Linked DNA regions of Drosophila melanogaster. The gene in region 2 interacts genetically with the main gene of each other region. Each region holds a gene or a part of one and is shown on either strand. Other genes may lie near its edges. The genes, in order: Ada3 and ara.

What was found.
Region 1: of ara (region 2) and Ada3, changing one suppresses a phenotype caused by changing the other (phenotypic suppression), as found in Drosophila melanogaster (one study listed by BioGRID).

The regions. Positions count from the first base shown.
Region 1 is NC_004354.4:18,083,851-18,088,953, reverse strand, and holds Ada3 (transcriptional adaptor 3), read right to left. Parts: upstream 3,194-5,103; 5' UTR 3,043-3,193; coding exon 1,372-3,042; coding exon of another isoform or gene 1,276-1,371; 3' UTR 536-1,275; downstream 1-535.
Region 2 is NT_037436.4:12,578,591-12,583,846, reverse strand, and holds the start of ara (araucan), read right to left. Parts: upstream 3,176-5,256; 5' UTR 2,745-3,175; coding exon 2,694-2,744; intron 1-2,693. UniProt on the Drosophila melanogaster protein: Controls proneural and vein forming genes. Positive transcriptional controller of AC-SC (achaete-scute). May act as an activator that interacts with the transcriptional complex assembled on the AC and SC promoters and participates in transcription initiation.

The DNA.
Region 1 (5,103 bases), on a different chromosome or scaffold from region 2:
CGTTTGTGATACGGGATCGGGTGGCGGGCGAAAGGGATCGACCAGTCAAGCAAGATGCACCGCGGCATACATGAAGTACAATGAATCTTTATACCCACAAACATCATCTAGCATACATTCAGAGGAAGGCCACTGACGACGTGTTCACCCAAGACTAAAAACTTGCACATATTAGAAGATCAGATTTGACTGCCATTTGCTACGTATAATAAAGTTTGTTTCTGGATATATTTGCCTGGCGATTAGCGTTCTAGAGATAGCCAATCCGCGTGGCCCGGAAGGGCTTCCTCCGATCGAAGATGGCCGGCTCGCTTGTTTGGCTTTAATTAGCCGTACGCTGGAGTTGCCGACTTTGATTGCGCCTTATCGGCTGGGCAAACAAGATCGAAGCAACGGCAGAGGATTCCCCACATCCGCTGGAGTTCACTTGCCCGCTTCGTCGGCCAGATCGAGCTCAAAGCGTACGCAGCGTTCGCCCAGCGCGGTGGTTTCTCTCCTCCCAAACTCACTCCCATGGTGGAAAATTCTGTGCTTTACTCTCGATAGTGACGACTTTATTGCCGCGCGATAACTTAAGCTATACAAAGTGTATGTATTTGGGAGTGTTAAATAGGGTGAATCAATATTTATAGTTGCGAAAGACATGAGGAAAACAACGTGCTCGTAAAATTTTGGGAAATTCCAGTAGCGGAAAGTTTTTCAGTTCATTTAGCGAATAATGCGAATCTCACCCTCCACTTTTATGTACACAAAATCAAATTTAGCATTTAGCATGTAAAATCTACGGATATCCATTTAATTTTCAGGCAATTACAAACAAATTGGCAAAAAACTGTAGGCTTACAGAATACGGAATACGTTACTAAGCAAGGAAAGGGAAATTATGATTTTGTAAAAGAACAGTTTAAAATACGCAAACGCTACTCTCCGCCACTTGAAGATCTTATCTAAATAATTAATTTCACTTTAATCTTGAACACTACATTCTATGAGCTAATGTATCTTTGTTAATGTACAGTCTGGTGACGAAGATAAGAATACGGGTTTGGAAGCTAGTCGAAAACGACTCAAAAGTGGCGTTCGATTTGGGGAAAACGAATGCCAAAACTCGAGGAAAACTTATGCAAAACATTTTCCGCCACCATGAGCGCATCTTCCCAAAACGTCCACAACTTGGATTGCGGACACTAGAGGCTACGTGTACGTGTCGAATAGCGTGGCTAATTTACAGTCTGGCGAAATGAAAGGAGTGGCGAGTAAGGAGGAGCAGCTCCTTCAGACGCACTGCAGCTTGAGGCTAGCGTCGCGGACCTGCCTCTTTGCCTGATGCATGGCCATTAGCTGGCACCAGCCCCAGGCCAGGCTCCTGTCCTACATCTTTGGCTCTAACAGGGAGTTGCCGGAGCCGCCGATGCAGGGCAGATGCATCTGCATACGCTCCAGCTGATCCGCAAGTAGGCGCTGCTCGTTGGTCAGCCGCAGTATCTCCTGCTTCTCCTCGATGGTGTGGCCCTTGCGCTTGGCCCGATACTGCAGCATTCGCTTGTAGCACTCGAGTATCTCCTGGTCCACCATGTCCAATTTCTGTTTGATGGCAATGCGCTTGATTTCCTCACTGGCAACGGCACGCAGTCGCTTCAATTCCTCGCTGTTAAACTGCGAAATGGTGCTGATTTCGGTCGTTACGCGCTTGATCTCCATCAGCACCTCGTCCACGTCTTCGTGGGCCGCAAACTCACTGGCATCGATCAGTCCGTTCTCGATGAGAGTCTTCTTCAGGCGCTGTTCGATGCCCACGCCGTGTTTCATCATGGCGAGAGATCGAAAGTTCCCGGAAGCAGCTGCTGCGGCAGCATTTGCCGAGGACGAGGAGTGCGAGTGGGTGTTCTCGTTGCTGCTGCTCGTGGTGCTGTTGCTGTGCTCGCCCACGGCGGCCTGTTCGCTGGGCAGCGTCATCAGGGACTCCTCCATTAAGGCGGACACCAAACGCTGGGTGAGTGGACCAGTGATGCTCTCATCCACCATGCCTTCGGCCTTTTTGAGCATTCCGCTGGAATTGTTCGATTTAATTCGAGCTCCGCCCGGCTGCAGCGCCTTTATATCCTCCTGGGCCCAAACTGTGGAGTAGTGGGGACCCAGAGGTGGCACTGGCGGCACCAGTGGACCCCAATACTGCTCCAGCAGGTCATCGATTAGGCGCAGATCCTCGTTGGTTAGAGGCATGCAGTAGGGCTCCACGGATAGCCAGAACTTGTTGGGCGTATCGTTCTTGGGCACCGTCATTTTCGGTAGCTGCGGCAGCGGCTGGTGATGCGGCAGCACGGATCCAGAGGCATTGGCGGCCGCCAGTGTGGGCAGATAGTCCATGCTGTCGTCGGTGTGCACGACCAAGGGGCTGTTCTTGGCCTGGTGCTTCGAGGTGCCGCCGGAAACGCCCTGTTGCTTGAGAATGGTCATCGAAGAGTGCTTTTTGCGCACGCCCGTTGGCTCATCCCGCTTGCGCTTCGATTGGCTAGAGGATGAGGCGCCTCCGCCGCCCAGCGGGCTGCCCAGACTCGTCGACGAGTTGCTGCCGATGCCCAGCAAGCCGTTGAGCATGCTAGCCGGACAAGGTGGCGATCCAGGCACACGGTCGAGCTTTCTTCGATCCTGGCGCTTCTCATCCTTGTCGAGGCTATCATACTCCGCTTTCAGGACGCGCGTGCGCAGCGCCACATTGGAGAGCATCTGTTCCAGCTCCAGTTGCACTGCATCCAGATCCTCGGCCGCCAAATGATCATCCGCCGGACGCTGCAGTGCCGCTGCAATGGTGGGCAGCAATTTGGGCACGTCCCGAGTGCGAATTATTGGTATAACGACGCCGCCGGGCGTGGCCAGCACCTCGGAGTCCAGGAAGGTGCTCGTTGGGGCGGATTTGCCGCCACCTGTGCCATTTGTGGGCAGTTTTCCAGCTCCTCCGGATGACGCAGAGATGCCAAAGCCACCGGAACCGAGCGAACCACTGAAGTGGGCCAGTTTGATATTCTTCAGGTTCGCACTCATGGAACGCGACTGCGACTGGTTGGGGACCTGTGTGTTAGCTAGATTGCGGATATATTTGCTGTTTTTCCTGCTTTTCTTGTGTTGTGAAAATCGCAATTTGTTTTGCGTCGATATGGCAGTGTGACCGTAGCGGAAGACGGGTAAATACTAATGTACAAGATGGTAAAATACTGGAATGGGCTACACGCGCGGGTTATGCACAGTGGGCCAAACAAAAAAAATTCTCATGAGTAGCTAAATATTTATAATTTAAGACATACTTAACTAGCATTTCATTAATTAACTTTAGCAGTAATTGAAACTGTTTATTTGACTTTATTTCAGCAATTGAAGATAACGGAACATTATCGCATGGATACATTTTCATACCACTTGATTTTATCCACAAAATAGTGAAAAATACTCTCTGCAACTATAACAGTGATCGTGCACAACAGAGCTGCTCCAGCGCTGTGCAACACTGGTGGCCGCGTAGCGCGCGTGCTTACCAATACTTTGCTTTTTTGTTCAGTTCTTTGTTGTTGTTTGGCGTTCGCATTTCGCCCGTCGTCGTCTGAATTTTTTAGTGATATGCGCGCTATTTCGGTGATAAGCAGTGTACTTAACAAATCAGCGACTGTTGACAATTTGTAATGGCCAGTGGGAGCAGCTTGCGATGTTAGAGTAGACCCATTCCCCCCCTTCCGCAGACGAACTGCAAGTGCAAACTGCAGTGTATGTATGTAATTTTATGTAATTGAACACCCATTTCCCAAACCCCACCCCCCCAAAATCCCACAAAGCATGCAAACACATCCAAACATTTGAACATCCAAGCACCCAAAACATCGAAGCATCCGATAATCTCGGACTGGTTGCCTCCAATTGCGCCTCGTTTGTCCAATTGTGAGGCGCAAATCACAAGACAAGTCGAATTGACGCTCAGCCGCCACGCCCCCTTCGCTGCTCACGACCACACCCCCCCTCCCCGCGGGCGGGAATCAACGAAAATCAAAAGCCAACATCCAGCGATTCAGTTCGGTTTAGTTGGGTTCAGTCGTGCCGACATATGCACAAATATCCCAGCTTCAAAACGCTGTTTCCCTTCGATTTGACTACACTTTCCCAACTGGGCATTTTCGCTATCAGAAGAGGTTTGCAATGCCACCTTTAAGCTATGATCTATCACCGAACTGCAAAAGTTTTTTATTTTCGTTCTACGCCAATTAACTTAACTTCGACTTGTCTATTTTACAATCAAAAAGTGCGAAGTGTATTGTTTAAGTTAAAATTCGATCCCCGAGAGTTTCGGTTCTAAAGATCCTAAAATAAACAGTGAAAACAATTTAATATAAATGAACAGCGGACAAAAGTGTTTTATTTAAGCTTGGTTTCATGTTTTGTATTCCATAAGATGTGTACATTAAAGAGAAGTGATATATTCGTTTCGAGTTTCTTTTGTTTGTTCTTCAATACAAAGATAAATACAAGCTTCCCCCATCTATTATCTCAAGTAAAAAGTGATCATCAGTCTATATAGTTCTTTGTTTCTTTAGTTAATTCTTTGTTTTTGCTATTTGCAATCTTGGCAATGTGAATATCATCTGGTAGATAGAACAACTGAAAATCGTAGCTAATTTGAATTTATATCTCGTCATAGAAAGGATAGTGTACACACAAACACGTTTGTTTTGCGAGATAATCCCATCGTGGATTGCACATAATATCTAGAACAATATGTCGAACAATAACCGCGGGCGGGTAAGGGTATTTGCAGTGCCGCCAAAACCTGAACAAACCCTCCGCTCTTGTTTTATTGATCAAATATTTGCGTCTACGTGTGTCGTCGTCGTCGTCGATGTGTTCCGTTCCGGCGATGTCTCAGCGATTATGGGGCTTTTGTGTGTCAGCTGTTGTTTGAAAACGGCACTAGCACATGTTTTATAAGCCCAGTCGCAGGCCAGTCGGCTCGTTATCAGTGCCAATTAAACCGGAGAAGAGAAATCTGTAACCACCGGCGATAGTGGCGATAAGGTCGCAGCCCTGAGATGATCGGGGATAGCTTCAGCGATGCACCCACCG
Region 2 (5,256 bases):
ACAGTCTGCAATCTGCAAACTGAAGTCTGGAAGTTTGAAGTCTGGAAGTCTTGAAGTTTGAAGTCTGGAAGTCTTAAGGTCTGGAATCTGAAGACTTTAGTCTTCTGGGCGAAAATATCGACGCACCGAACCCATAATTAAGTTGAGTGCTCCGCCCGTTGGACAGCTACAAATTGATCGAAGTGCCCAGCAAAAGGTCATAATATCTGGGCAGCAACAATTTTAGCCCGGCTAACACGGCTTCTGTGGCCGAATTCGCGGTCAAAACTTAAATGCAGCCAGCAGAATGCATAATTATTCCGCGTCATTAACATAATCTGACAATAGAACCATCTTCTTCGCCCGAAAATCGCAGCACATGCATATTATTTTATAATTATCAGATGCGATCGATTCGATTCGAGATTGATCCCCTCGAAATTCAGCAGGTGAGTGATCTACTAGAAGGTCGCTCAAGTCCGATCATAATTAATAAAGGAAAAACATATTTTTTTTTGAGTCGTGCTGAAACGCACAAATAATAGAATTTCGAGGCCAAGACCGCTGACTATATATAGGGACATCGAAAAAAAAAATGTGAAAACTCACAGCCATTTATCAAAATTTTACAAATGAATGATTCAGTTGTTTTACTTTTTTGACTTTTTTTTTTGTATTCCACCGTGCCGCGTGATTTTAATTAGTAAAAAGCAAATACATTTCGCTCGATTCTGTATGGGAATGTTCAGCGATCGAAAGGAGGCAACGCGTTCCCAGAGTTTCTCGGCAAACGCAACAATATGAGAATTATGACAACTAATCTGATAGGCGACACCATATAGGGAGCTCTATGCGCCTGCCAGATTCCTCAGCTCCTTGAGCGAATGCATTATTCATGAGGTAGAGGACTCCATTCCAGCAGTACCTTTCCGCTCTCGGAGGAAGCGCCAGTGGTCCAGTGGGCCATGTGAATTGGCCACGTCTGCGGATGGAACGTGGAACTTTCGTTGTTCGCAGTTGGAGGATGCAGACGACGACGACGACTGGCAGGCGACAGTGCGCAGATAAGATCTGCTGGCCATGTGTGTGCCCAGTGAGCAGTAACCAGTAACCAGTAACCAGTACCCAATGCCCAATGCCAGATACCCAACTTCTGAGTTGCACTGGCTTTGGAAATTTCTGTGAATCGCAAACGCAGCGATCTAATCGCAGCTTGTATCTCGTGGGTCCACCAAAGCGGCCAGGCTACCGCGATTCTGCATCCGAGTGCCTCCCCCGACAATCTCCTCCAGATGACCAAGTTGATAGCACCGGACTATAAGCGCCACTTGGAGCCGCACTCCGCTCATTCTCCTCACTCCCCAAAACGAAGCCAATGTAAAGTAGATCAGAGTGGAGCCAAGTCATTGGTCCATCGATCGTGTTCGTTGGGATTCGGATGCTATCCTATCTGCCATCTCCAGATTCAATGGATGCTCCTCACGTAGCCAGGAGGGCATTCCCAGAGCCTGCCCTCAGCTGTCACTTTACGGTTATGAATTTTATGATTTACGATCGCCGCAATTGAATTTTATTGACTTTTCAACAGTTTCACCTGAGCGTGCCTCAATCGGCACCTCCCATCGTCTTGGCCTTCTGATTGCCAAGGCTTTTCCCTTTTTTCTTTTCCTTTTTCTTTAGTTTTTTTTTTTTTTTTTTGCTTTCGTTTTCGACTTTAGTTAATTGGGCTCGTGTGGTCCGAAATGGGAAAGACGCCAGAGTTCTTTGGAGGAAGAACCAGGCAATTGGTAACCAAGTATTATGGCCTGGGAAATTAAAGTTTAGCCCAGGCAAACGCAATCAATAGGAAATTTAATTTACTCTAGGCCTTTCGAAAGCTTCTACAACTTTTGTAATTTATCACAATATTTTACAAATATTTTAGTTGCACCTGCAAGCCGCGCAATTTTGTGCAACATCTTTAAAACGCCGAATCGTTTTTTGTGTGAATTTTGAAGGTTGACAAAAACGCCTGATTCCTCGGAGTGGCTTTTTCTCAGGCCATTTATCAGCCATCTGATTTATTATGGTTTTTTGCTGGCCTGCCACCAATTTACTGTCATAAACATGGAAAAAGTTTGCCTCAAGCAGCTGTTTTTGCTGCTTAGTGAAAAGTCCAAAAGCGCTACAATCAAAGACTTTTAGCGGTTTTGCCCTATAGTGGGTCCTCAAGATCAAATAATCGGATAACTTTGACTGGAGTCGGTGGAAGTACTCAGATGAAAGTTGGTGGTAAGGATTGCTTAAAAAACACACAAATAGAATTTAAACCCAACCAAGCTTTTTTAGGAAAAAAATTTTAGAAAAAATATTCAGATAACGGGTTCAGTTTTAATGATGGAACGCACTCCAGAAAAGATAGTTGTGATTATAAATAGAAAAATTAAATATGTATATGAAAAAATATGATTTTACAACGCTTTTTGCTTGTGACCTCTGTTTTTAATACCTCCAAACATAAAAATTATGAATCTTTAAGGCAATCATAATTACAATAATCAGTTGATTATATCAGTCGTATGAATAATATTGTATCTAAATAGGTTCCCATATCTGCAGTTAATAAACATTTTCATTCCTCTAGTTATCTTGAGATCTCTTGCTACTTAATGAATATGAATAGCCATCATATAGTATATACATCTAGATCAAATTTAGTTAATTAGAGGACCCACCTGCGAGGCCGACGGAAAGCCTCCGTATCCGAATTGTGTGTAGGCAGCCATTTCGCTATATGACTATACGACTATATAAGACCTAGTCTTAAGATACTCTCTCTCTCTCTCTCTCTCTCTCTCTCGCTCGTGGGCAGTCTGCTGAAGGATATACGGTGAAGCTGCTACATCAAATGATGTGCTTATCGGGGGTTTAACAGCTCAGTTTCGATTGGGTCTGTTCACAGTGGGCACTGGCGATAACGACCATAACGACATTGGGCCAACCGAAAGTATCTCGTGGATTTGTTTGGTATTTGCAGTTGCAGCTGTCACTTGTGGTGGATTTTTGTTTATATATATTTTATTTTTTTTTCTGGCTAACAGCACTCGCAAAACGCGGCGGCAACGAAAAATCGACGAAATATCGACGGCAAAAACGCGGCGCTTCAGCACACGCTCCCTTTCAGATGTGCACCTTATAACGTTCGAACACGAACTGGTTGCGAATGCCGTTGCTGTTGGCCGTGTTGCTGCTGCTGTTGCTGTTGTTGTTGCTGCGCTGTTGGGGCGCATTCCGCTGCAGTTGGCGCGGAAGCGGGACAACAATATGCTGCCTCCCCCCATCGAAAGAGAAACGGAATGCCGCTCGCCTTGGAGCGAGCAACAAGAATAACGGAGTCGGCAGACTGGAAGTGTAAGCACTCTAGAGCAACGCCCACCGTTCTCCGGTTTTGTCTGGTGTTGGTGGTGGCATTTGGCCGGTCGCTCTCTCCGCAATTCCAATCCGATTCCCCGCCAGTGACTCGTATTCGCGGCTCACTGGAAGTGAGGCCAGCGCAACCACCAATCGTAGGGCTGCATGAGCTTCGGCTGGCTGATTTAATGGACAGGTGCGAGGTCGCCAGGCGAAAGAAAGCAAAGAAAAGAAAATACAAATGAAATGAGCGGATGGTGAAGGGAGAGGAAGTGGGTAGGGAGCGGGACGCATTTTCACAACTGTCGATGGTCTCTTGTTTTACCCACAATTCCCGGGCAACGCCCATTTGTTTTGTTTGGCTAGTCATTTGTTTGTTTACTTTTCACAATTGCGCGCCCATCGACTGGAAGTGCGCCACCAGCGATCGCCAGCTGGAAGTGGCAACAAAGTGCTGCGATGGCCAAAAGTGGCGACACAAAAGCGTTAATAAGATCAGCAAATTCCAAGACACTCGCACTGTATTTATCGTCTGTCATTATCTTTATCGCTGCATTGCACTTTAGTTAACTCCCATTATCGATCCTCACTAATTAATCTCTCCTAATTCGGGTTTAAATGAAACATTTCCAGCGATCTTTGTTTAAATATCATTCCACTTGGATACCAGTTACTTAAATTATCAACAAGATTTTAACTTTTTATGGAAGGAATTAATATCCTTACTCAAACAGGCAATCATACCATTAATTCTTGGGATTTTTAAATATCAACCAGATTTTTACTTAGCTTAGGTTATGTTATTAGTAATCATAACATATATTAACTTTGAGACATTTTAAATTTTTTATAAAATGTGTATTGCATTTTTTTACTGCAATTGCTTTTTAACAGACACAGATCATTTAAGTATTTTCAACATTTGCGATACTTTGGCGAACAATATTTATGGCAATTAAAATACTTTAATTATCTAACTAAACTAATTGTTATGCTACTTAAATATGCTAGCCAATTTAATTTCGCCACTTAAAATATCTTCTAGAACATAAGCAATTTTAATTGCAATTAAATAGCACTTGACGTGTATCCGAAAAACAAGAAAAGCCTGACCTAATTTTCTTTTTGATAAATTGCATGCAACGTATGTTTCTGCACTATGATACATTAATTGAAAAAAAAAATTGATTTTTCTAAGATATTTTTAGAGATAACTTAAACCTCGTGTGTTTTGCAGAAAGTTCGGTCTTTTAAGAAATCATAAAAAATATATATTATACTGTCAAATTTAGGGCAAGGAATGGCCCACTTTTTCACTTACACCATATTTATTATGAACTTTTAACTATATTTATAAAATTCCATAAGTTTAGTGTGTAAAAGGTACCCGCATATTGCACATGAGCCCGTGAAAATGCTGGATTTGGAAAAAAGTTTTTGCTATTAATGCGCACTAACATATTTGGACATCCGCTTTACGATCTATTTTTTACGATTACGATTCTCCGGCAGGATGAATTCTCCGGTCGAGGACACGCATTCCGGAAATGGAGAGTCCGCCGTGGATGTGATGCGATGTGATGGGGGAGATGAGGTAAACCTCAAATGTTTTTGCGGGTGCCGCGGATGTTGGCAAGCTTGTTTGCAGCGTGTTTTTGTTTGTTCTCCTGTTCTTCTCTTCTTCTTTTTTTTGTCGTTTGTTTATTTTTATGATAATGTAATAAAAGCAAATTAACCTATAAAACCGAAAAAGTGCGACTTACACGACGGAATTGCGCCATAAGGTCTGGGCGTGTCCTCACCTCGCTCCGCATAAGATATATGTGTGTGGATGAAACGATCCACGTGGTGTGGCTGGAAGTGTGGGTAGAATAGAGCAGTATGGAG